Lonchura striata: one gene and its partners. The protein of the gene in region 1 purifies or fractionates together with the protein of each later gene. This does not show direct contact. Links are inferred from orthologs where the notes say so. Each region holds a gene or a part of one and is shown on either strand. Other genes may lie near its edges.

What was found.
Region 2: the proteins of FOXJ1 (region 1) and FBXO11 purify together in Homo sapiens (affinity purification with mass spectrometry; 3 studies listed by BioGRID and IntAct, counting the BioPlex papers as one, with this or other methods). This does not show direct contact. The link is inferred for Lonchura striata from reciprocal best matches to the Homo sapiens genes FOXJ1 and FBXO11.
Region 3: the proteins of FOXJ1 (region 1) and cyclin-dependent kinase 20-like purify together in Homo sapiens (affinity purification with mass spectrometry; 3 studies listed by BioGRID and IntAct, counting the BioPlex papers as one, with this or other methods). This does not show direct contact. The link is inferred for Lonchura striata from reciprocal best matches to the Homo sapiens genes FOXJ1 and CDK20.

What each region holds. Positions count from the first base shown.
Region 1 is NC_134621.1:4,222,269-4,229,192, forward strand, and holds the start of FOXJ1 (forkhead box protein J1), read left to right. Parts: upstream 1-3,843; 5' UTR 3,844-3,983; intron 3,984-4,653; 5' UTR 4,654-4,711; coding exon 4,712-5,200; intron 5,201-6,924. UniProt on the Homo sapiens protein: Transcription factor specifically required for the formation of motile cilia. Acts by activating transcription of genes that mediate assembly of motile cilia, such as CFAP157.
Region 2 is NC_134605.1:20,231,263-20,238,552, forward strand, and holds the start of FBXO11 (F-box only protein 11), read right to left. Parts: upstream 3,080-7,290; 5' UTR 2,771-3,079; coding exon 2,656-2,770; intron 2,081-2,655; exon of another isoform or gene 2,004-2,080; coding exon of another isoform or gene 1,988-2,003; intron 1-1,987. UniProt on the Homo sapiens protein: Substrate recognition component of a SCF (SKP1-CUL1-F-box protein) E3 ubiquitin-protein ligase complex which mediates the ubiquitination and subsequent proteasomal degradation of target proteins, such as DTL/CDT2, BCL6, SNAI1 and PRDM1/BLIMP1.
Region 3 is NC_134638.1:2,109,978-2,117,648, reverse strand, and holds the start of cyclin-dependent kinase 20-like, read right to left. Parts: upstream 3,080-7,671; 5' UTR 3,058-3,079; coding exon 2,983-3,057; intron 2,913-2,982; coding exon 2,799-2,912; intron 1,861-2,798; coding exon 1,672-1,860; intron 1-1,671. Other genes in the region: PORCN (protein-serine O-palmitoleoyltransferase porcupine), read left to right, coding at 3,682-3,817, 5,208-5,400, 5,941-5,984. UniProt on the Homo sapiens protein: Required for high-level Shh responses in the developing neural tube.

The DNA of each region.
Region 1 (6,924 bases):
GAGATGTTCGTGCACTGAAAGCAGCATCCCTGGAGGGGGTGGTGTGGGAAGCAGGTTCCCAGTGCCACCCCCACAGGCTGTGCTGATGATGGCTGTGGCTCCCAAAGAGGGGTGCAGCCCTTTTTGGAGCTGGGGGTGTTTTCTCTGGCTGGCTCACAGCCAAAGCCATGGTAGCTGCTTGCTCTGTGGCCCCACTGTGGGTCCTGCCAGAGGTGGGTTTGGAGCCAGCCATCCCACTGCTCTCTCCTCTGGGCTGGCTGTGTCTCCTCTAAGCTCAACAGCTCCCAAATTCCTCCCTGGGACCCCAGGGCTGGGCGCTTGATGTGAGGGGGGTGACATCTCCAAAAGGCCATCCTGTGGCATGCGAGGTGGGAGCTGCAAACAGCAGGGAGGGCTGAAGTGGTGGGGACAAGCCTTGTGCCCTGTTTGGGGGGACGTGCTGGGTGTCCCAGCCTGAAGGAGCCACAGCACCACACAGGGAGAGCTTTGGAGGTCGTGCTGAGCTGAGAAAACCACGGCAGCCATCTCTCCCCTAAGTCTCAGCACGGGCAGGGGAGAGAGAACCGGGCTGATGCTCCAGGAGCATCTCCTCTACCAAAGCCCACCTTCCTCGTGGTTTCAAAGGGGACAAGGACAGCTGGCCTGGCACCCTGGCACAGGCTGCTTGTGGCTGCCAGCAGAACAAGGAGGACTTAGGAGAGACCGTGAGGGTTTTCTGGCTCCTCGGAGCGGTGAGAAGGCTGCAGGAGCGGCCAGACAAACACACGGGGTGGGCGCTGGGTGGAGAGGAGCCGGGAGGATGCTGTGGCCGAGCGGTGCTGCTGCCTGGCTGCCAGCAAGGAATCCATCCTCTGGGTGGCACAGGAGAGACGGGATTTGGGCGTGGGTGACATCAGTGCCGTCCTCGGCCACCCAGAAGGGACAAGGGGCAGGCAGGAGCTGCCAGCGCGGCGTGGGCTGGAAGGTGGCAGCCCCTTGTTCCAGCGACCCACGTGTCAGGGATTTAAGGAAGGAAACCAGATTGCTGCTTATGATTTTGCTTTGAGCATGTTTTGGATTTTAAGAGTATGTTTAATAAAGGGTATCTTACGTGGACGAAGTGTCCAGAGTCATTTTGTGGTGGCAGGGTGAGGGCAGTCAGGGTTTGGGGGATGTGGTGTGTAAAAACCCTTTTTGGCTGGGAGCACCCACTCACCTGTCACCCAGGCACCTTCTCCAAAACAGCCCAGCTGATCCAAATGTCCTAAAACACTTCTCAACCTGCATTCCCAACTATCCTAAATACTGCCAGGATGGAGAAGGGGCAAATGCAAACTAAACCTCTGCAGGAAGTCTGGCCTGGGGTAGAGGCATCTTCCTGCTCTGTGGTGTGGGTGGCCCCTGTCACTGCTGGGATGGATGAGGACACCCAGAGGGAACTTTTCCTGGGGGAGAAGAGGAGCAACAAAGAGCTGGGAACACATGCCAGAGAAACCCCTCCAGTGGTGGGGAAGAAAATGTGTGCTGAGAGCTGAAGGCTTGAAGGTGAGGAGGGCTGTAAGGGGGGTTATATTTTGGGTTTAGTGGAAGGGGCTGATGATGGTGGGGCAAAGCAACTTGCAGCTGAATCAGAGTCAGAATCAATCAGATTGGAAAAGGCCTCTAAGATCATCGAGTCCAACCCATGACTGAGCAAGCTCGGGGGGAATGTCTTGCAGATGGTCAGATCCTTCAAAGGGGTCCCTCCCTGGCCTCTGATAAAGCTCTCAGAACAGCAGTTAGGGGGTAGGGAATTCTTAGAGAAGCCAGTGGCTGTAATTTTTTAATTAAGTGAAGGCAGACTCCATCCTTTATTTTTGGAGTCTGCCAGCCCACCTTCAGCTTTGCCCTCATTGCTGTGGGAACATCAGGAGCAAGAAATGGGATGGGGGCACAGGTAGGAGGAAAAGGGCTGGGGTTGCCCCTGGAGGGGCAGGACTCAGGCGTTCATAGAATCACAAACGGTTTGGGTTGGAACAGACATCAAAGATCATCCAGTTCCAGCCCCCCCACACCACAGGCAAGGACACCTTCCACTATCCCACGCTGCTGGGATCCCCTTCCAACCCGGCCTCGAGCTATTCCATGCACAGCTTCTCTGAGCAGCCTGTCCCGCCAGCCTCAAACAACCTGTCCTGTGATCCAGTCTAAAGCTGCTCTCCTTACCTTCGAAGCCATTGTCCTTTTTCCTATCGCCACACGGCCAAAGTCCCTCCCCAGCCTGCTCACGGCTGCCCTGGGGGGCCGAAAAGCCGCCAGGAGGGGATCGGGTGATAAGGTGATAAAGAGATTGATAAGGTCATTGATAATGTGATAAGGTGATTGATAAGGGGATAAGGTGATAAGGTTATAAGGTGGTTGATAAGGGGATAAGGAGATTGATAACGTGATTGATAAGGGGATAAGGTGATAAGGTTATAAGGTGATTGATAAGGTGATAAGGAGATTGATAAGGGGATAAGGGGATAAGGTGATAAGATAAGGTGATAGGGTGATACATAAGGTGATAAGGTCATTGATAACGTGATTGATAAGGGGATAAGGTGATAAGGGGATAGGGTGATAGGTGATAAAGAGATTGATAAGGTGATTGATAAGGTGATAAGGTGATTGATAAGGGGATAAGGTGATTGATAAGGTGAGAAGGTGATAGGGCGATAAGGTGATAAGGTCATTGAGAAGGTGATAAGGTCATTGATAAGGTGATTGATAAGTTGATAAGGTCATTGATAAGGCGATAAGGTGATAAGGCCATAGATAAGGTGATAAGGTCATTGATAAGGTGATAAGGTGATTGATAAGGGGATAAGGTGATTGATAAGGGGATAAGGTGATAAGGGGATAGGGTGATAGGTGATAAAGAGATTGATAAGGTGATTGATAAGGTGATAAGGTGATTGATAAGGGGATAAGGTGATTGATAAGGTGAGAAGGTGATAGGGCGATAAGGTGATAAGGTCATTGAGAAGGTGATAAGGTCATTGATAAGGTGATTGGTAAGGGGATAGATAAGGTGATAAACTGATTGATAAGGGGATAAGGTGATTGATAAGGGGATAAGATGGTAAGGTGATTGATAAGGTGATAGATAAGGTGATAAGGTGATTGATAAGGGGATAAAGTGATTGACAAGGTGATAAGGTGATTGACAAGGTGATAAGGCGATTGATAAGGGGATAAAGTGGTTACAAGGTGATTGATAAGGGGATAAGGTGATTGATGAGGTGATTAGGGGATAAGGTGATTGATAAGGTGATTGATAAGGGGGTGATAAGGTGATTGATAAGGGGATAAGGTGATTGATAAGGGGATAAGGTGGTAAGGTGATTGATAAGGGGATAAGGTGGTAAGGTGATTGATAAGGTGATAGATAAGGTGATAAGGTGATTGATAAGGGGATAAAGCGATTGACAAGGTGATAAGGTGATTGATAAGGTGATAAGGTGATTGATAAGGGGATAAGGTGGTAAGGTGATTGATAAGGTGATAAGGAGATTGATAAGGTGATAAGGCGATTGATAAGGGGATAAAGGGGTTACAAGGTGATTGCTAAGGTGATAAGGTGATAAGGCGATCGATACGGTGACCCCGGATCCCCCGACCGCCCCGGGCTGGGCGGGGCCCCGCGGGCACCGCCCCCGTCGCCATGGCAACGCGCGGGCCAATGGCGAGCCCGGAGGATGTTGACGGGGCGGGGCGTTGCCGTGGCGACGCGCGACGCCTCCCGGAGCCGCTACTTAACCCGGCGGGGCGGCCGCGGCTCCCGGCGGCTCGGCGGGCACGGCCCGGCCCGGCCCCACACCCACCGGGGCTCTCTTTCCCCGTTGCTTTTCGTCCTCCCCCCTCCCCTCTTATTTTTTGTAATTTTTTGGTATTTTTTTCCCCGTCCTCTCCAGTTTTTCCAGAAGCTTCTTAGCGTGTCGTGAACTTTGCCTCTCGGGGGACGACAGCGACACCGGGACGGGGTAAGGGGATGCGGCGGGTCTGCGCGGGGGAGCGGCTTTGGTTATGTGTCCTCCCGGCCCAAACGCTCGGGATTTCGGGTTTGCATTCACATCCCCGACACAGGACTCCCCAAAGTCTGAAGCGGGCTCGCTCTGACTGCGGGTGTGCTTGGGGTGGGACCCCCCCAGTTCCCCCAAACCACCCCTGAGTTGTTTCTGGGTAGCACAGGAAGTAAAAGCAGAAATAGCATCAAATTGAGAGAAGTTGGCTGCGAGGGGGGAAATTTCGAAGTATTTTGCCCTGGTGTGGAATGCTGAGAGTTAGTCCTGTGAGTGCTAGGTATTCAGAGATGTGTGTTCCCAAGAAATATCCTGACTTTTTGGGATGGCAGGGCTCGATTTTGGTATTTTGAGGTGTTTTCTGTTGTGTTTTTTTTTTTAAATTCTTTATTCAGCTGAGAGCTTGCTGGGCAGCGGGTTGGTGGGTGACACTGCGGTGTAGGAGTTTGAGGGAATTTCCCCGAGGTTTGAGGGTGCTAAAGCCCCTCGGGGCAGGCATTGCAGGTCCCTTGCAGAGCACACCAGGGATGGGTCTCACCCAGCAATGCCGGGAGCACCCAGAGCTGGCCCTGCCTGGCTGTCAGAGGCTGCACCTTGTGGAACCTCACCCCTGTCCCTGTTGTTATTGCAGGATTTGCCCCATCCCTTCCCTCCCGTTCACGTGCAGCCTGGGAAGCACTGAGGGAGGCATGGCGTGGCCCAGCCGAGCACTGAAAGCCAAGGGCAAACTGGAGGAAGACCTGGATGACAGCCTGCCAGACCTCATGTGGCTGAGGGACTTCACAGTGGCCCAGACTGGCCTGCCTCAGTTATACTCTGGCTCAGACCCCCAGGATTGCTACACCATGAGTGAGAGTCTGTTCAGCCTGGTTGATTTTGAGTCCCCGTGCTCACCCCTGGCTGCTGACCCGGCCTGCAAGGGCACACGCCACACCCCCTGCACGCCCATCTCCTCCTCCACCTCCTCCACCACGCACCACGACCTGGCTGTGCCCCCTCATCTGGCAGGGGACATCGACTACAAGACCAACCCTCATGTCAAGCCACCCTACTCCTACGCCACCCTCATCTGCATGGCCATGGAAGCCAGCAATAAACCCAAAATCACCCTCTCTGCCATCTACAAGTGGATTACTGACAACTTCTGCTACTTCCGACACGCTGATCCCACCTGGCAGGTAGGAGATGTGGAGCCGTGGCCACTCTCCCTGCAGGGCTGAGCAGGGCTTTCCACAACCTCCACTCTGCAAGACGAGATCATGCAGGGGTGCTGGATCCCACTGGGAAAAGAGTGACTCCAGTGGGGAAGGGCTGGAAGGGGAAAGAACTTGGCTGGGCACAAATGCCACGGCCCCGGGGGGGGCAGAGGGAAGGAGCCATTTGGGGGGAGAGCCCAGGACCATTTTGGGAGCAGGGAGGCACTCGTTGGGCTCCTGGCACCTGAGACTCCTCTTGGCTTCAGGGCAAAGGCCTTTTGGTCCCTACATTCCTGGAGTTCTCATGGAGTCCCTCAGGGTTGAGCACACGTGGAGAAGGTGCCAGGTCGAGTGTCCCTGGGTGCTGAAAACCAGGGATGGAGATGCCACTTGTTGGACAAGTCTCCCACTGGGGAGGTTCTGAGCAGAAATGCTGCTGGTTTCTAAGCAGGGCAGAGTACTGGGCTCCTGGCACCAGGGACAAGCCAAGGAGGCTCCATCACTGGGATGAGCTGGTGAGACCTGCAGAGGGAAGCCCAAGAGGGGTTAACTCGAGCTGCTGTCCTCAGCTAGCAGAGCATGTCCCCAGTGGGGAGGTGACAGCCCCCGGGCTCACAAGCTTTGGGGACAGCCCAGGGGCTTTCCCAGCCACCTTGGCTCACTGCCCTCCTCTGTCACACGAGGAGACCTCTGGCACGTGAGATTTTCTGGGATATGGCAGGGCTGGAGGGCCCTGGGGGGCTCATCCCTCCACTGGGGTTATTCCCATCCCAAATCTGCAGCGTGTCGCTAATCCTGATGGCAGTGCCCATCCAAGCAGAGCTGGAGAACCCCACTGCAAAGCTCAGGCATTGCCCACCTTCTCTCCAGGCAGGTGGGTCTCCAGTGGCTCTTGAAGCCCATCATGGGGAAGGAAACATTCCTGGTCCCCCTCCATGGCCATCTTAGTCCCCCTCTTACACTCCTATGAAAGTGATTTGGAAGCAGGAGCTGGGTGCCAACAGGTTGACTTTCTCCTGCACACTTCATGGCTGGGAATTTGCAACATTTTTAATTAAATGTGTTCATTAAAAAAAGAAAGAAGGTTTTCAATCCCTCTCTGCAGAGATGCAGGGGGTATCCTGGACCGTTGCAGGCAGGAATGATAAATATGTTGACTGGCTGAGTAATAATTCAGCCTGGGCTGAGCGAAGTTTGGGAAGGGGAGGAGAGATGGGCAGCAGAGAATTCAGCTTTCAAGCCTCTGATCCTCGTAAAATTTCATTACACAGTAAAATTGGAGTTACCACAGCCTGGATTGTGTGGGGGAATATCTGTGTTCCTGCTTTTTCTTTCTTCTCTTTTCTTTTTTTTAAATCTTTTGTTTCTTTTCACTTTTTTTTTCCCCCTTCCTTTCTCTCTTTTTTTTTTTCTTTTCTTTCTTGTCGAGGCTGTGTTCTCATCCCCTATCCCGATTCCCGTACGTGAAGACAGCCTGGAAAGGTCATGCCACCCATAGTCTGGGGGGAGATGGATATATTCCTGTGGGAGCTGAGTGCTTTGGAGAGGAGCCAACAAACCCAAGGAGCTTCAGCCCAGAGGAGGGTTTTGTTGTGTGTGTGTGTGTGTGCATGTTTTTCAACAGCTCTAAGCAATTGAGCCTTGTTTTTCCTATTCGGCACTACGGATTATGGATGAATAAGCATAAAGATATCCAGGCAACATTA
Region 2 (7,290 bases), on another chromosome or scaffold:
TCTATTTATTAACAATAGGCATCATAACTTGATTTTTACCCAGTAGTGAACATGTAACAGCTGTTACTCAGTTGTAAAACACTGTCTACTTACAGAGCATTAAATAATAAATAAAGCTCAAGACCTAGTACATGTTTTACTAAGAAATCTAATGATATGAAACAAGAAGTTCCAAAGATTAACCGTGAACTGTATTATCAACTCTGTCCCATGATATCTGTGCCTTAAGTACAGAGCTGTAATATGAAGGAGGAAAGAAATTAACAGTAACAAAAAATAATTCCTGTTCAGTCATAGCTGCATTCACAGTATTAGGAGGTTTTTTTTTTTTTTAACAAATTTAAATCTGAGTTCAATAGAAACCATTTCCTAATAACTTATACTGATTCTTTTGTGCAGCTTTTTTTAGGATGACCTACATTGCTTGGGAATAAAGGTGAAAAAAGTCAACACTGATTTGCATGGTACAGTCTAACCCCAGCACACTGGCTTTTAATTTAGTAGCATTATTCATCAGCCTTTACTGCAATAGCCCTGCACAAAACGACCAAAGTCACAGGTAAAACTGAAATTACCTTCCAGATACAGTGGATCAGACCTTGCAAATCCTGAGATAGAACGGAAACAGCACTAGAGACACCCCAAATGCAGATGGAACACTAATGACAAAAAAACCTTAATGCTGTCGATACATTTTTGGGCAAGTGGGACCTAGCACAATTGACCTTCAAAACTGCAAGGAAAAAGCTAGCAGTGATCCACATGGAACGGTAATTTTCACAAACCATGGAATTTGATTTTGTTATAATTTCATCACCACTGAATGGTCAACAGCACAGAACAATGTGGAAGAAAAAATAAAATTAGGTGAGTCTAGAGTTCCAGAAATGTCAGGGTAATACAAACACACTGCAGCCTCACATTTTAATAGAGAAAGTTTCTGCCTGTATCTTTAGCAAATTAGTAACATATGAACAGCGGCAATCCAACGTAAAACTGAATAATAATCACTGCATTTAATCCATAAGCACATCATTCTGGATGCCTTTTATAAGTTGTATTTTCATCTGTTTAAAAGGCAAAGTAAGCCATGGGGTTGGAAAAAATCCCTATATTCTCCAAATGGAACGTCGATGAAGAAGACCCTTTAGTGCACGTCTTTGAGAGGAAGAAGTTCTTTTTTTGTTGTTGTTTTGCTTTATTTTCCGTGTTGTTGTTTTTCTTTTAAATGTCAGTATACCAGAGAAGTCATTTTAATCATATAATTACTGAAAATTTTGGAAGGTTTACACAAGACCCATAATTGGGCATAAGACATCACATCCTCTGGTTATATACACAGCAATCTGGTCTGGGTAACATTCTTTGCTCTGACCAATGTGTGCGAGGGGGAGGCGGGGGAAGGAAGGGGAGGGAGGGGGAGGAATGGAGAATTAAAAATACTTCCTCAGATTCAATTTTCTTTACTTCATTTACTTAAAATGTTCTGATTGCATAAAATGCACTAAAATATTTATCGCGACGCATCTCCGTGGTTAAAATATCTTGTTCTCAATGTGATATCATAGATATTCAAACAAAAGACATTTAGCTGACAATGAAGCCCTTTTTTTTTTTTTTTTTTTTTTTTTTTAAATTTAAAAAAGGCATTCGTACACCTAAGACCGCACCACGGATCAGTCTCCTTTATCACGCCGGAGTTGTGACAGGTAACGCATAAAAAATTAAAATCCAATCCACCAGATAAGACATGCAAAATGTCTCCTCCAATCCCACCCCCATCTCGCCTTAGAAAGAGAAAAAAAAAAAAAAAAAAAAAAAAAAAAAAAAAAAAAAAAGCCCAGCCACCACCAGTCCTGCACATTCGGAGCACACACACAGTGGCACCCCCAGAGCCACCACTGGGGCGACAGCGACAGGCCCGAGGGGCCGCCAACCCGGAGCTCCCCCGCACCCCTCTCCTGGCTCCATGAGGGGCGAATCCCACCTCGCCGCTTCCTCATGCCCTCACACAATGGTGCTTTCCCCCGCTAGCTCCGAATTGTCAACATTTTCACGCTAGGCCCCGGCCGGGCAGGGCTGGGGCGCGGGCGGCCCGAGTCCCCGCCGCGGCGCGGGGGCCGTGCGGCCGGGGGGATCAATGGCCGACGGGCCGCGGCCCCCCCGCCGGCGCCGGGGCCGGAGCCCGAACTGCGCAGCAGGCGCGGCGCAGCGGGCCCGGCCCCGCGGAGCCTCGGCCAGACCCGGGGCCGCCGCCCCCGGACACCATTTCGGGGAAGGTGCCGCCGCAAGCGGCCCGACACCGTCGCCTCCCCCCGCCCCGCAGCCCCCCGGGCGCTCTCCCCCCGCGGCCCTCGGGGCCCGGCCCGCCGCTCCCCGCGGGAGGCACCGGTGTTCCCGGGGGGCCAGGGCGGCTCGCCCGCTCGCGGTCCCCGGGGACGGGGCGGGGGCTCGGGGGGGGCGTCCTGTCCCGAGGGGCCGCGGGCGATCGTCTCCCCCCATCCCCGGCCGGGGAAGGGGCCGAGCCCCCGCCTCCCCCCGAGCCGGGGCAGAGCCCGAGCCAAACAAAGCGCGGCCTGAGCGGGAGCCAAGGGTGAAGCAGCCTGGGCTTTTCCTGCCGGTCCCCGCGCAGGGCGGGCCCCGAGCCCGGCTTACCCCGATCCCCGGCGGCGGCGGCGGCGGCGTTGTTCCTCTCCTGCTGCTGCTGCTGCACCGGGCGCGGCCTGGACACTCGCCTGGGTCTCCTGTTGGCGGCTCGGACCGAGTTCATTTGCCGGCTCGTGTGGGCGGCGGGAGGGGAGGGGGGAATCCTCCGGCAACCGGTGCCTCGGCGGGGACGGGGGCACTCGGAGGGAGCCCCGGGGCGGCCGCCTCGCAGGCGCGGGCAGCAGGGAAGGGCGGGGGGGAAATCTCCGGGCGCGGGTCCCGCTGCCGCTGCCGGCTCGCTCGAAGGCAGAGGAGCCGCCGGCTCTCTCAGCGCTGCTGTGGGGGACGATGGCGCCGCGCCCCCCCCGTCCCGGCCCCCGGCGATCCCGCGGTCCTGCCCGGCTCAGGCCCGTCGCTGCTCCGTGGCAGGAGGAGCCATTGACACCGCCAGGGACGCGCTCGCGAGCGGGCGGCCGTTGGGCGGCCGTGCTCCGCCAATCGGCTCGCCCGACACAAACGGCCGGAGCCGGCGCGGCCAATCTGTGTATCCGTACTATCGGTGCGCGGGTTGGGGCGGGGCGGGCGGGCGGCGCGGCGCGGGGTGGGGCGGTCCGAGTCCAATAAAAGGCCGGGGCCGCCCGTGTGGAGCGGCAATGGCGGCGCTCGGGCCCGGGCGCGCTGGCAGCGGCTCCCGTGAGGGGCCGGCGCGGCCCAGGGCAGCCCGGAAGCCGCCGGGCTCGGCGGCAGCAGGCGGGCAGCGGCGGGTCCCGGCGGGCTCCGCTCCGGCCGTGTGTGATGAAGGAGAGAGGGCGGGCGTCTGGCGACGGTGCCTTGTTGTGGTGCCGTGTGCCTTGGTAACCCTGCCCGGATTAGCCGTGCTGTGGCTGCCGGCTCGTTTCGGTTTCCTGACTGGTTGTTAACTATTTTTTTCCCTCTGGATTTGTGTGTATTTTCTCGGCTGGTGTGCCCAGTCGTGTTTGTGCTGCGTTTTGATAATGCCCTTTATTTTGGGCTTTAGACAAGTGCATGAGGCTTTTCCTCCTTTATTCTATTTGTTGTGTTGGTGCTCAGCTGATGGCCTCAGAGCAGGGAAGAGAAGTAAACGGAGCTAGCTGTGATCTTTTTCCTTTTCAGGAGTCACATAATAAAATGGATGGCACAACCTAAGCAGTGAGGAAGAGATCATCTCTTTGTGGGGTTGCTCAGGAATCTGCTTCTAATGTTGTGAAGGTGGGTTTGTGTGGAGTCCTACTTAAACTAAGCTCTGGGAGCTTCTGGAACCAGGGCCCTTGTCTATGCCTGAAAAGTAAAAGAGTGTTATGTGGTAGAAAATGTAAATAAATGATGGTAATTAAAAACACATTAGGTATGAGCTTGTTTCAAGCTGACTAATGAAGGTATAATAATATAGCTAAAGTAAATGACAGCTTTTAGAAAGAAGCTTTAAAAAACACTTGTGATTTGAAAGGAAATGACAGTGACATTCTAATTCTCAGTTCATATTAGACCAAATATAAATGTATGAGAAATCTCAGTAGTTGTTAAGGAGCACTTTTTAGACTTAACATTTTGTTGCCTTAAAGAATGACTGGAGAAACAGTGGAGGATGTCTGAGAGAAATAATTCTTGCCAACTTCCCTGATATTAGAGGAAGAGATAATGAAGTTAAGCTCCTGTGAGAAGACTTTTGTAGGGAAAAAGAATATAAACATCAGTCTGTTTGGAGGCAGTTTCTGTCATAATGATTATTGGCTATGTTACTGAAGATTCTGTAGAGCTACATAATTACATGTAAATATAATTGAAATATTTTTATTTTTGGTAGTAGCATTGTGAAACTCTGCTTCAACTCTTGAACAGGAAGAATAACCCTACCCAAGTATTGTGCTGAACTTACTGTGTCATGGTTAAGGGCTTTTTCCCTCCTCACTAGGAACTTCTAATCTTTAAACTGGAGTATTTCAACTATTTGAATCCCTAGCTGTTCTAGTTATGCTCTCTTCGCCAAGCAAATGAATTCTTGGTGTCACAAGATTATCTGAAATTTCTCAATGTAGGTATACTCCAAAAGTTTAGTGCTCTTAGTCTTTGAAAGCTTGTTCAAGGATGGATGACAAGCTGATTTTCACATACAACCTTCAAGAATCTAAAAGTTCTGATACTAGAATAACACATTATTTAATTGAAGCAAGCTCTAAACTTTCTTAATAAGTCTTGCACTGGTTTGAAACCGAATGGTCTCTTGGCCTATAAAAACACTTTCTGTAATTAGCTCTTTAAGGTCCAAGGTGTGCCTTCACTGACAACCAAAATAGATAGAGGGCAATCTATAGATGTTTGGGATAAATGGTCCGAGTTGATACAATGAGAACCTCATGCTGAATTATACAGACTTGATTCAATAAATTACTGGCGCAGAAAAAGTGATTCCTCTAAGTATTCAGTGTTTGCTTACAAGGCATGGAGTAAAGAAATACTTGCAGTACTCTTGTCTGACATTCTTGGCTGTACTTCAGAAGGCCAAACAGTAGAAAGCCTGAAAACTCATCAAAACATTATTGACTAAATCTCTGTATCTCTTCTCACAGCTGTTAAATGTATCCTGTCTGGGACTTGGTCATAATTTCAGGTTTGTTTGTCAGTCTTTAAAATGTTCTACTCAGCCATCCTGTGTCTCCCTTGCTGCTGTAAAGCCTCTGAGAAGGAAAACACCATTCTGTGATAGAAATGGCATTGAAAGCCTAAATTAATAATTGGGGCTTCATTGTGTTGACCACTGTGGAGGTGCTTTAAGCTATCCTGTATGATGTGCTAATAAGCCATTCCTGAATGTGGGTGTGATTTATACTGGCAAGATAATTTTGCCTTTGTCAAAACAGCTTTTTCTTTATTTAAATTGGGAAGAGAGGGAATGGGAAGTGGAGCTAAACTGTACAGTGATCTTTTTACATAATTGTTGACAATAGAAATGCTTGCTGGGCTGGTTATGTTGGCCACAAATCACCTTTTGGTGACCCTTGAACAGCCTGACATTATGAACAGAAAAAGGTGTAAGACCTGGGTGAAGAGCTTGCTTGGAGCATTTATAGCATAAGCAATTTGGACAGAGTTGTCAAGTGCTAGCTCATCATATTCAGACCATCTTCTAAGCTGCACTGAACTTCAAATGAGTGTCTATTTAAATGTTAATGATAACTGGTTCTCTGTTTCTTGAAGAGTTGGCTGTTGCTTTGAAGAGATCACCTTCCTTCCTGCATGAAGGAAGAGATGCCACAGAGTGCTTAATGATAACAGTAACTTGTTAATTATGTGTTAACATAGAATGGTTAGAGATGAGGCAGCTTTACAGAGAGATGTAGTGCAAGTTGTCATGGAGGGGATTCCTGTTTGTGAGGGTGATATGCAGAGACAGCAGGAACAACTTTGAGTCAGCTGACTTTCTCTAAAGTGAAGACAGTTAAAACAACTTAAATATCAAGATAGTGTATCAGTGTTTCTTTTCTAGAATCTGAGTATTGCTGTTAGATTAGAGGTGGTGGGGTCACAGAATAAGCAGGACTGGGAAATTACAATGAGACAGTGCAAAGTGGTAAATCAGCAAGGCTGATTGAGGCCAGGGTGATCTGCAGGAATCACCCCTATTTTATTCTATTTAATGTATATATCTACTAGTAGCCTGAAAAGCCTTGCTTCAGAACCTATTAGAAATCCTTTGAGTGTGGGGCAGATTCATTTAAGTTGTCATGATCCATCCTTACCCTGAAGATGTGGGTATTGCTTTAACAGTTGATCAAAACAAGTCTAGGATAACAGATGTCAATGAATCTGTGAATTACTTCTAAGGGGTTCACAAAACATAAGTAAGGACAGCCTTCAACTTGTATATGATGGCCTAAAGCTCTACTTCAAAATTATTCAGAAACAGTGACTTTGAAAATGGAAAAAAAAATAAAACCCAGTGAATTTTTGGCTTTTATTTAAGTCAAATACACAATATTCTCTCTAGCTTTTGCTTCCTAATACTTGTGAGAGAACAAAAAATATTTTGAGAATATAGTTATAGTTAATTATGCAGAGCCTTTACCTACAGTTTGTGGATTTGAACAAGAAATACAAGGAGTAATTTTTTTATTATACTTATTAATTGATTCAAATGGTTTTGCAAAGGAACCACGTCTCTCCCTCCCTGTATGGATGAAAATGAAGCAGAAAGGGCTGAAATGACTTGTCCAAGAGCATTTCCAGGCTATTAACAAGGCTATGAACAGAACCCAGGGTACAGGAGTCCTTACGGAAGGCTTTCTCCATGGTATCATGTTACTGCTTTCAGAAGTATAAGAATTTTGCCTATTATTTCTAACCATCTCATATGCTGTTAACATGTCTCTAGACTAAAAATACTGCATTGAAGATTTGGGACTGACCCAGTGTGAATTTCTGACTTGTAGGTCTTTAAACTTAGAGGGTTGTTTCTCCTGAGATTGCAATATGTGGACCTTTCAGAAATAGCTAATGATACCTAGAACTGGTTGAACATGCTTGATGTGCAGCTCAAAAATTCCAATGTCATTTTGTCACAATGTCTCTGACCCTCTGTTCCTCTTAATTGTGTTTTATAACCCATCTCATGCAGCCAGAATCTTC
Region 3 (7,671 bases), on another chromosome or scaffold:
CTTCAATCCCATTTTTGGGGTGCCCCACCGCGGTTTTGGGGTCCCCCATTCCGGTTTTAGGGTACTCACTCCCATTTTTGGGTCCCCAGTCCCATGTTTTGGGGTCCCCACTTTCATTTTTGGGGTCCCCAATCCCATTTTTGGGGTCCCCAATTCCATTTTTGGGTCCCCAATCCCATTTTTGGGGTCCCCAGTCCCAAATTTGGGGTCCCCAATCCCATTTTTGGGGTCCCCACTCCCATTTTCGGGGTCCCCAAACCCATTTTTGGTGCCCCGATCCCATTTTTGCGTCCCCAATCCCATTTTTTGGGTCCCCAATCCCATTTTTTGTGTCCCCAATCCCGTTTTTGGGTCCCCAATCCCAAATTTGGGGTCCCCAATCCCAAATTTGGAGCCCCCAATCCCATTTTCGGGGTCCCCAATCCCATTTTCGGGTCCTTTATCCCATTTTCGGGGTCCCCAATCCCATTTTCGGGTCCTTTATCCCATTTTCGGGTCCTTTATCCCATTTTCGGGGTCCCCAATCCCATTTTCGGGTCCTTTATCCCATTTTCGGGGTCCTTTATCCCATTTTCGGGGTCCTTTATCCCATTTTTTGTGTCCCCGATCCCATTTTCGGGGTCCTTTATCCCATTTTCGGGGTCCCGGATCCCATTTTTTGGGTCCCCAATCCCGTTTTCGGGGTCCCCGATCCCATTTTTTGTGTCCCCGATCCCATTTTTTGTGTCCCCAATCCCATTTTTTGTGTCCCCGATCCCATTTTCGGGGTCCTTTATCCCATTTTCGGGGTCCTTTATCCCATTTTTTGTGTCCCTGATCCCATTTTCGGGGTCCCCAATCCCATTTTCGGGGTCCCCGATCCCGTTTTCGGGGTCCTTTATCCCATTTTCGGGGTCCCCGATCCCATTTTTTGTGTCCCCAATCCCATTTTTTGTGTCCCCGATCCCATTTTCGGGGTCCCCGATCCCATTTTTTGTGTCCCCGATCCCATTTTCGGGGTCTCCAATCCCATTTTCGGGGTCCCGGATCCCATTTTTTGTGTCCCCGATCCCGTTTTCGGGGTCCCCGATCCCATTTTGGGTTCCTTTATCCCATTTTCGGGGTCCCCACTCCCATTTTCGGGGTCCTTTATCCCATTTTCGGGGTCCCCAATCCCATTTTCGGGGTCTCCAATCCCATTTTCGGGGTCCCCAATCCCATTTTCGGGGTCCCCACTCCCATTTTCGGGGTCCCCAATCCCATTTTCGGGGTCCCCACTCCCATTTTCGGGGTCCCCAATCCCATTTTCGGGGTCCCCGATCCCGTTTTCGGGGTCCCCAATCCCATTTTCGGGGTCCCCACTCCCGTTCTCGGGGTCCCCGATCCCGTTTTCGGGGTCCCCACTCCCATTTTCGGGGTCCCACTCCCATTTTCGGGGTCCCCACTCCCATTTTCGGGGTCCCCGATCCCATTTTCGGGGTCCCCAATCCCATTTTCGGGGTCCTTTATCCCATTTTCGGGGTCTCCAATCCCATTTTTTGTGTCCCCACTCCCATTTTTGGTGTCCCCAATCCCGTTTTTGGGTCCCCAATCCCAAATTTGGAGCCCCCAATCCCATTTTCGGGGTCCCCGATCCCTTTTTCGGGGTCCCCGATCCCGTTTTCGGGGTCCCCGATCCCCGTGCGGGCTCACCCGGTGCAGCAGGCGCTGCCCGTGCAGGTGTGCCAGCCCGCGCAGGGTCATGGCCAGCAGCGCCCGCACCCGCGCCGGGGGCAGCGGCGCCGGCGCCGCCCGCAGGAGCCCCCCAAGGTCGGCCACGAGCAGCTCCAGCGCCAGAACCACCGCGGGGCCCTGCGCGAAGGCGGCGCGGAGCCGGAGCACCTGCGGGACAGCGGGGACAGAGGGGACAGAGGGGACAGTGAGAGGGGACAGAGGGGACAGCCAGGGGACAGTGAGAGGGGACAGAGGGGACAGCCAGGGGACAGTGAGAGGGGACAGAGCGGGGACAGAGAGAGGGGACAGTGAGAGGGGACAGAGAGAGGGGACAGAGGGGACATCAGCGGGGACAGAGGGGACATCAGCGGGGACAGAGCCAGAGCACCTGCGGGACAGCGGGGACAGAGGGGACAGAGGGGACAGAGGGGACAGAGAGGGGACAGAGCCAGAGCACCTGCGGGGACAGCGAGAGGACAGAGTGGGGACAGAGGGGACAGAGGGGACAGAGGGGACAGGGAGGGGACAACGGGGACGGTGACACCGGGAGCCGGCTCCGGTGGGGGAGGGGACACCGGGGGGTCAAGGGGACACCGGAGCTGGGGGGACACGGGGACATGGGGCAGGAACAGGGGTGGAGAAGAACCCGCAGAAGGCGGGGACCCTGAAATTGGGGGGGGCAGGAGGGCGGGGACAGCACTGGGGATTTGGGGGGACTGGGAGGGAACTGGGAGGGGACTGGGAGAGGACTGGGAGCACTGGGAGGGACTGGGAGGGACTGGGAGCACTGGGAGCCAAACTGGGAGGAACTAGGAGGGGACTGGGGGGGACTGGGGGGGAGTAGGAGCACTGGGAGGGAACTGGGAGCACTGGGAGCCAAATTGGGAGCACTGGGAGCACTGGGAGGGGACTGGGAGCGCTGGGAGCACTGGGGGGGACTGGGAGGGACTGGGGGGGGACTGGGAGGGACTGGGAGCACTGAGGGGGGACTGGGAGGGACTGGGAGCACTGGGAACCAAACTGGGAGCACTGAGGGGGGACTGGGAGGGACTGGGAGGGACTGGGAACCAAACTGGGAGCACTGGGCCTGCCTCGCGCTCACTCACGTGCGGGTGCGCCTCCATCTCCCGCAGCGCTTTGATCTCCCGCAGCGTCTGCAGGGGCAGCCCCTCCTCGGGCCGCCGCAGCGGCACCTTCTTGAGCGCCACCAGCTCGCCGGTCTGGCGGGGGACAGGCGGCGGGTCAGCCAGGCCCCGCGGCGCCGCTGCCGCCCCCCGGTGCCCGCCGCACCTGCCGGTGCTTGGCCCGGAACACGACGCCGTGCGCGCCCTCGCCGATGCGGCCCAGCACCAGGTACTGCTCCATCCCGCCGGGCGCGCCCCGCCGCCGGCCCACACTGCCCCGCGCCGCCCGCCGCGCCGCGCCGCCATGGCAACAGGCCCCGCCCCCGGCGCCGCAGCCAATCGCCGCCCGCTCCGCGCGGTGAGGCCACGCCCCTTCGCAACCATCACCCCGGCAACAGGCCCCGCCCCCGGAAACAGCCAATCAACACATGCTGCGCGGGGTTAGACCCGCCCCTTAGCAACCATCACCCTGGCAACAGGCCACGCCCCCCCGGTTGGCCCCAGCAACGCAGAGCGGCAACGAGGCCACGCCCATAGCAACAGAGCCACGCCTCTTAGCAACAGGCCACGCCCCCTCGGCATCCCCCGCTCCCCGGCAACCGCGCCCCGCCCTTGGCAACGGCCGCCCCGTCGCGCGCCGCCATTTGGCCGCGCTGCGCTCTGATTGGTCGGCGCCGCCGCGCGGGGAGGGACGGCGGGCGCTGATTGGTGGGAGCGGGGGCCACGCCCCTTTCCCCTCAGGCGGGCGGGCGGCGGCGCCGGGCGAGGCGCGGGCGGGGGGTTCGGGGAGGTTTTTGGGGTTTTTTGGGGTTTTGGGGGGTTTTTTGGGGGGTCCCGGCGCGCAGCGAGCCCCGCTGGGGTCGGGATGGCGGCGTTGCCTCCGCGAGAGTTCGCGGCGCAGGTGCTGCCCGGCTGCGTGGTGCCCACGGCGCGGCAGGGCCTGGCCCAGCTCTGGCCGCTGCTGCTGCTCTGCCTCGGGGCGCGGCTGCTGCACCGGCTGCGTGAGTGGGGCTGCGACGGGACCGGGGCTCCGGGGGGGCCCGGGGGTCTGGGGAGGTCTAGGGGATTCCGGGGGTCCGGGGTGTTCCGGGGGTCCGGGGGTTTGGGGGGATCCGGGGGAGTCTGGGGGGTTCCGAGGCTTTCAGGGGTTTGGGGGTCCGGGGAGTTCCGGGGGTCTGAGGGGGTTTGGGGGGATCTGGGGGTTCTGAGGCTTTCTGGGGGTCTGGGGGGATCCGGGGGTCCGGAGGGGTCCCAGGGGCTCGGGGGGTCCGGGGGTCTGGGGAGGGGTCCGGGGGTAGCGCAGGGGTTTGGGTTTGGGTCGGGGGACCCCCGGGGGTTCCGGGGTTTGGGGTGAGGAGACCCCCGGGGTTTGGGGTGAGGAGACCCCCGGGGTTTGGGGTGAGGAGACCCCCGGGTTTGGGGGTGCTGGCGGTTCGGGGACCCCCGGGTTTGCGGTTTCAGGGTTTGGGTGCCCCCGGGTTCGGGGTTCAGGTACCCGGGGTTTGGGGTTTCGGGGTTCGGGTACCCCGGGTTGGGGGGTTCGGGTAGCCCCGTTTTCAGGGTTCGGGTACCCCGGGTTCGGGGGTTTCGGGGTTTGGGTACCCCCGGGTTTGGGGGTTTAGGGTTCGGGTACCCTGGGGTTTCGGGGTTCGGATACCCCTGGGGTTTAGGGTTCAGGTACCCCAGGTTCTGGGGTTTGGGTATCCCCAGGTTTGGGTGGTTCGGGGTTCGGGTACCTCAGGTTTGGGAGTGCTGGTGCTTCTGGGTTCGGGTACCCCCGGGGATTCGGGGTTTGGGTACCCCCTGGTTTTGGGGTTTTGGGGTTCAGGTACCCCCGGGTTTCAGGGTTCAGGTACCCCAGGTTCGGGGGTTTCGGGGTTCGGGTACCCCGGGTTTTGGGGTTTGGGTATCCCCTGGTTTTGGGGTTTTGGGGTTTGGGTACCCTGGGTTCGGGGGTTTCGGGGTTCGGGTACCCCGGGTTTGGGATTGCTGGGGTTTCGGGTTTCAGGGATTGGGTGCCCCCGGGGTTTGGGGTTCGGGTATCCTCGGGGTTTTGGGGTTTTGGGGTTTGGGTACCCGGGTCTCGGGGGTTTTGGGGTTTGGGTACCCGGGGTTTTGGGGTTTGGGTCCCCAGGGTTTTGGGGTTCGGGTCCCCGGGGTTTTGGGGTTCGGGTACCTGGGTCTGGGGGGTTTTGGGGTTTGGGTACCCAGGATTTCAGGGTTCGGGTCCCCGGGGTTTTGGGGTTCGGGTCCCCGGGGTTTCGGGGTTTGGGTCCCCAGGGTTTTGGGGTTCGGGTCTCCGGGGTTTCAGGGTTCGGGTACCTGGGTCTCGGGGGTTTCGGGGTTCGGGTGCCCGTGTCTCGGGCGCCCTGCTGACCCGCTGTGGCGCAGCGCTGCCGCGGGGCGGGAAGCACGCGGGCGCAGCGGCCGGGGGGCTCCTGGCCCTGCACCATTTCTTCGGGGCGCAGGCGCTGTGGGTGGCCCTGCTGAGCGCGCTCTGCGTCCTCACCCTGCTCCTGAGCCGGGCCCGCGCCCACCGCGGCCTCTGCCTCGCCCTGGCCGCCCTCAGCTACCTGCTCATGGGGTGCGGGCACCGCGAGGGACTGGGGGCACTGGGAGAGGGATTGGGGGCACTGGGAGGGACTGGGGGCACTGGGATGGGGTTTGGGGGTGATTTGGGGGTGCTGGGAGGTACTGGGGGCACTGGGAGGACACTGGGAGAGACTGGGAGAGGGACTGGGGGGACTGGGAGAAGGACTGAGCCAATGGGAGGGCACTGGGAGAGGGACTGGGGACACTGGGAGGGGGACTGGGGCCATTGGAAGGGCACTGGGGCCACTGGGGGGGACTGGGAGGGGGTTTGGGGTTATTTGGAGGTGCTGGGAGGCACTGGGAGAGGGGCTGGGGACACTGGGAGGGCACTGGGGGGACTGGGAGGGGGTTTGGGGGTGTTTTGGGAGGGACTGGAAGAGGGACTGGGGCCACTGGGATGAACTGGGAGCGACTGGGAGGGAGATGGGGGGGCACTGGGATGAACTGGGAGGGAGATGGGGGGGCACTGGGATGAACTGGGAGGGAGATGAGGGCACTGGGATGAACTGGGAGTGACTGGGAGCCCCCCCAGGGAGCTGCACATGGTGGACACGGTCACGTGGCACAAGATGCGAGGTGAGACCCCCGACCCCCCCCCCAGGACCCCCAAATCACCCCGGGACACCCCGACCCCCCCCCCGGGAGCCCCAGATCCCCCTGGGACCCCTAAATCCCCCCTGGGACCCCCGACCCACCCCCCCCCCCACCCCGTGTCAGGGTTCCCAATATTCCAGGTTTCGGGGTGCACTGATTTGCCAGTTTTGGGGTCCCCCCAATTTCGGGGTTCCTGGTGTCAGGGTTCCAGGTTTGGGGGTCCCCTGACAGTCCAAATTTTGGGGTGCCCATTTTGGGGCTCACAATTTTGGGGTTCCCATTCTGGGGTTCCCAATTTCGGGGTTCCCATTTCAAGGTTCCCAGTTTCGGGGTGCCCATTTAGAGGTTCCCAATTCGGGGTTCCCAATTTTGGGGCCCCCTGATGGTCCCAATTTTGGGGTTCCCAATTCTGGGGTCCCCTCAAGGTCCCAATTTCGGGGTCCCCTGACGGTGCTGGTTTTGGGGTTCCCAATTTCGAGGTTCCCATTTCGGGGTTCTCGGTTCTGTGGTTCCCAATCCGGGGTTCCCAATTTTGGGGTCCCCTGATGGCGTCGGTTTTGGGGTTCCCAATTCGTGGTTCCCAATTTGCGGTTCCCAGTTTTGAGGTTCCCAATTTCGGGGTTCCCATTTTCGGGGTTCTTAATTCGGGCTTCCCAATTTTGGGGTCCCCTGACGGTCCCAATTTTGGGGTTCCCAATTTCGGGATTCCCAATTTCGGGGCCCCCTGACTGTTCCCAATTTTGAGGTTCCCAATTTCGGGGTTCCCAATTGGGGGTGCCCAATTTGGGGTCCCCTGACTGTTCCCAATTCAGGGTTCCCATTTCGGGGTCCCCTGACCGTTCCCATTTCTGGGTTTCCATTTCAGGGTTCCCAATTCGGGGTCCCCTGACCATTCCCAATTCAGGGTTCCCATTTCGGGGTCCCCTGACCGTGCCCAATTTTGGGGTTCCCAATCCAGGGTTCCCAATTTGGGATTCCCAATTTCGGGGTCCCCTGGCTGTTCCAAATTTCGGGGTCCCCTGACCATTCCAAATTTCGGGGTCCCCCGATGATTCCCAATTTCAGGGTTCCCAATTTCGGGGTCCCCTGACCATTCCCAATTTCGGGGTCCCCTGACGGTCCCAATTTTGGGGTTCCATTTCGGGGTTTCCTGACCGTTCCCAATTCGGGGTGCCCAATTCAAGGGTTCCCAATTTCAGGGTTCCCTCACAGTTCCCATTTTGGGGTTCCCAATTCAGGGTTCCCAATTCAGGGTTCCCAATTCGGGGTTCCCATTTTGGGGTCCCCTGACTGTTCCCAATTTGGGGTTCCCATTTCAGGGTCCCCTGACCGTTCCCAATCCGGGGTTCCCAATCCGGGGTCCCATCTCGGGGTCCCCAATCCGGGGTTCCCAATCCGGGGTCCCATCTCGGGGTCCCCAATCCGGGGTTCCCAATCCGGGGTCCCATCTCGGGGTCCCCAATCCGGGGTCCCCAATCCGGGGTCCCATCTCGGGGTCCCCTGACGATTCCCAATTCGGGGTTCCCAATCCGGGTTCCCATTTCGGGGTCCCCTGACCGTTCCCAATCCGGGGTTCCCAATTCGGGGTTCCCAATCCGGGGTCCCCAATCCGGGGTCCCATCTCGGGGTCCCCAATTCGGGGTCCCCAGTCCGGGGTCCCATCTCGGGG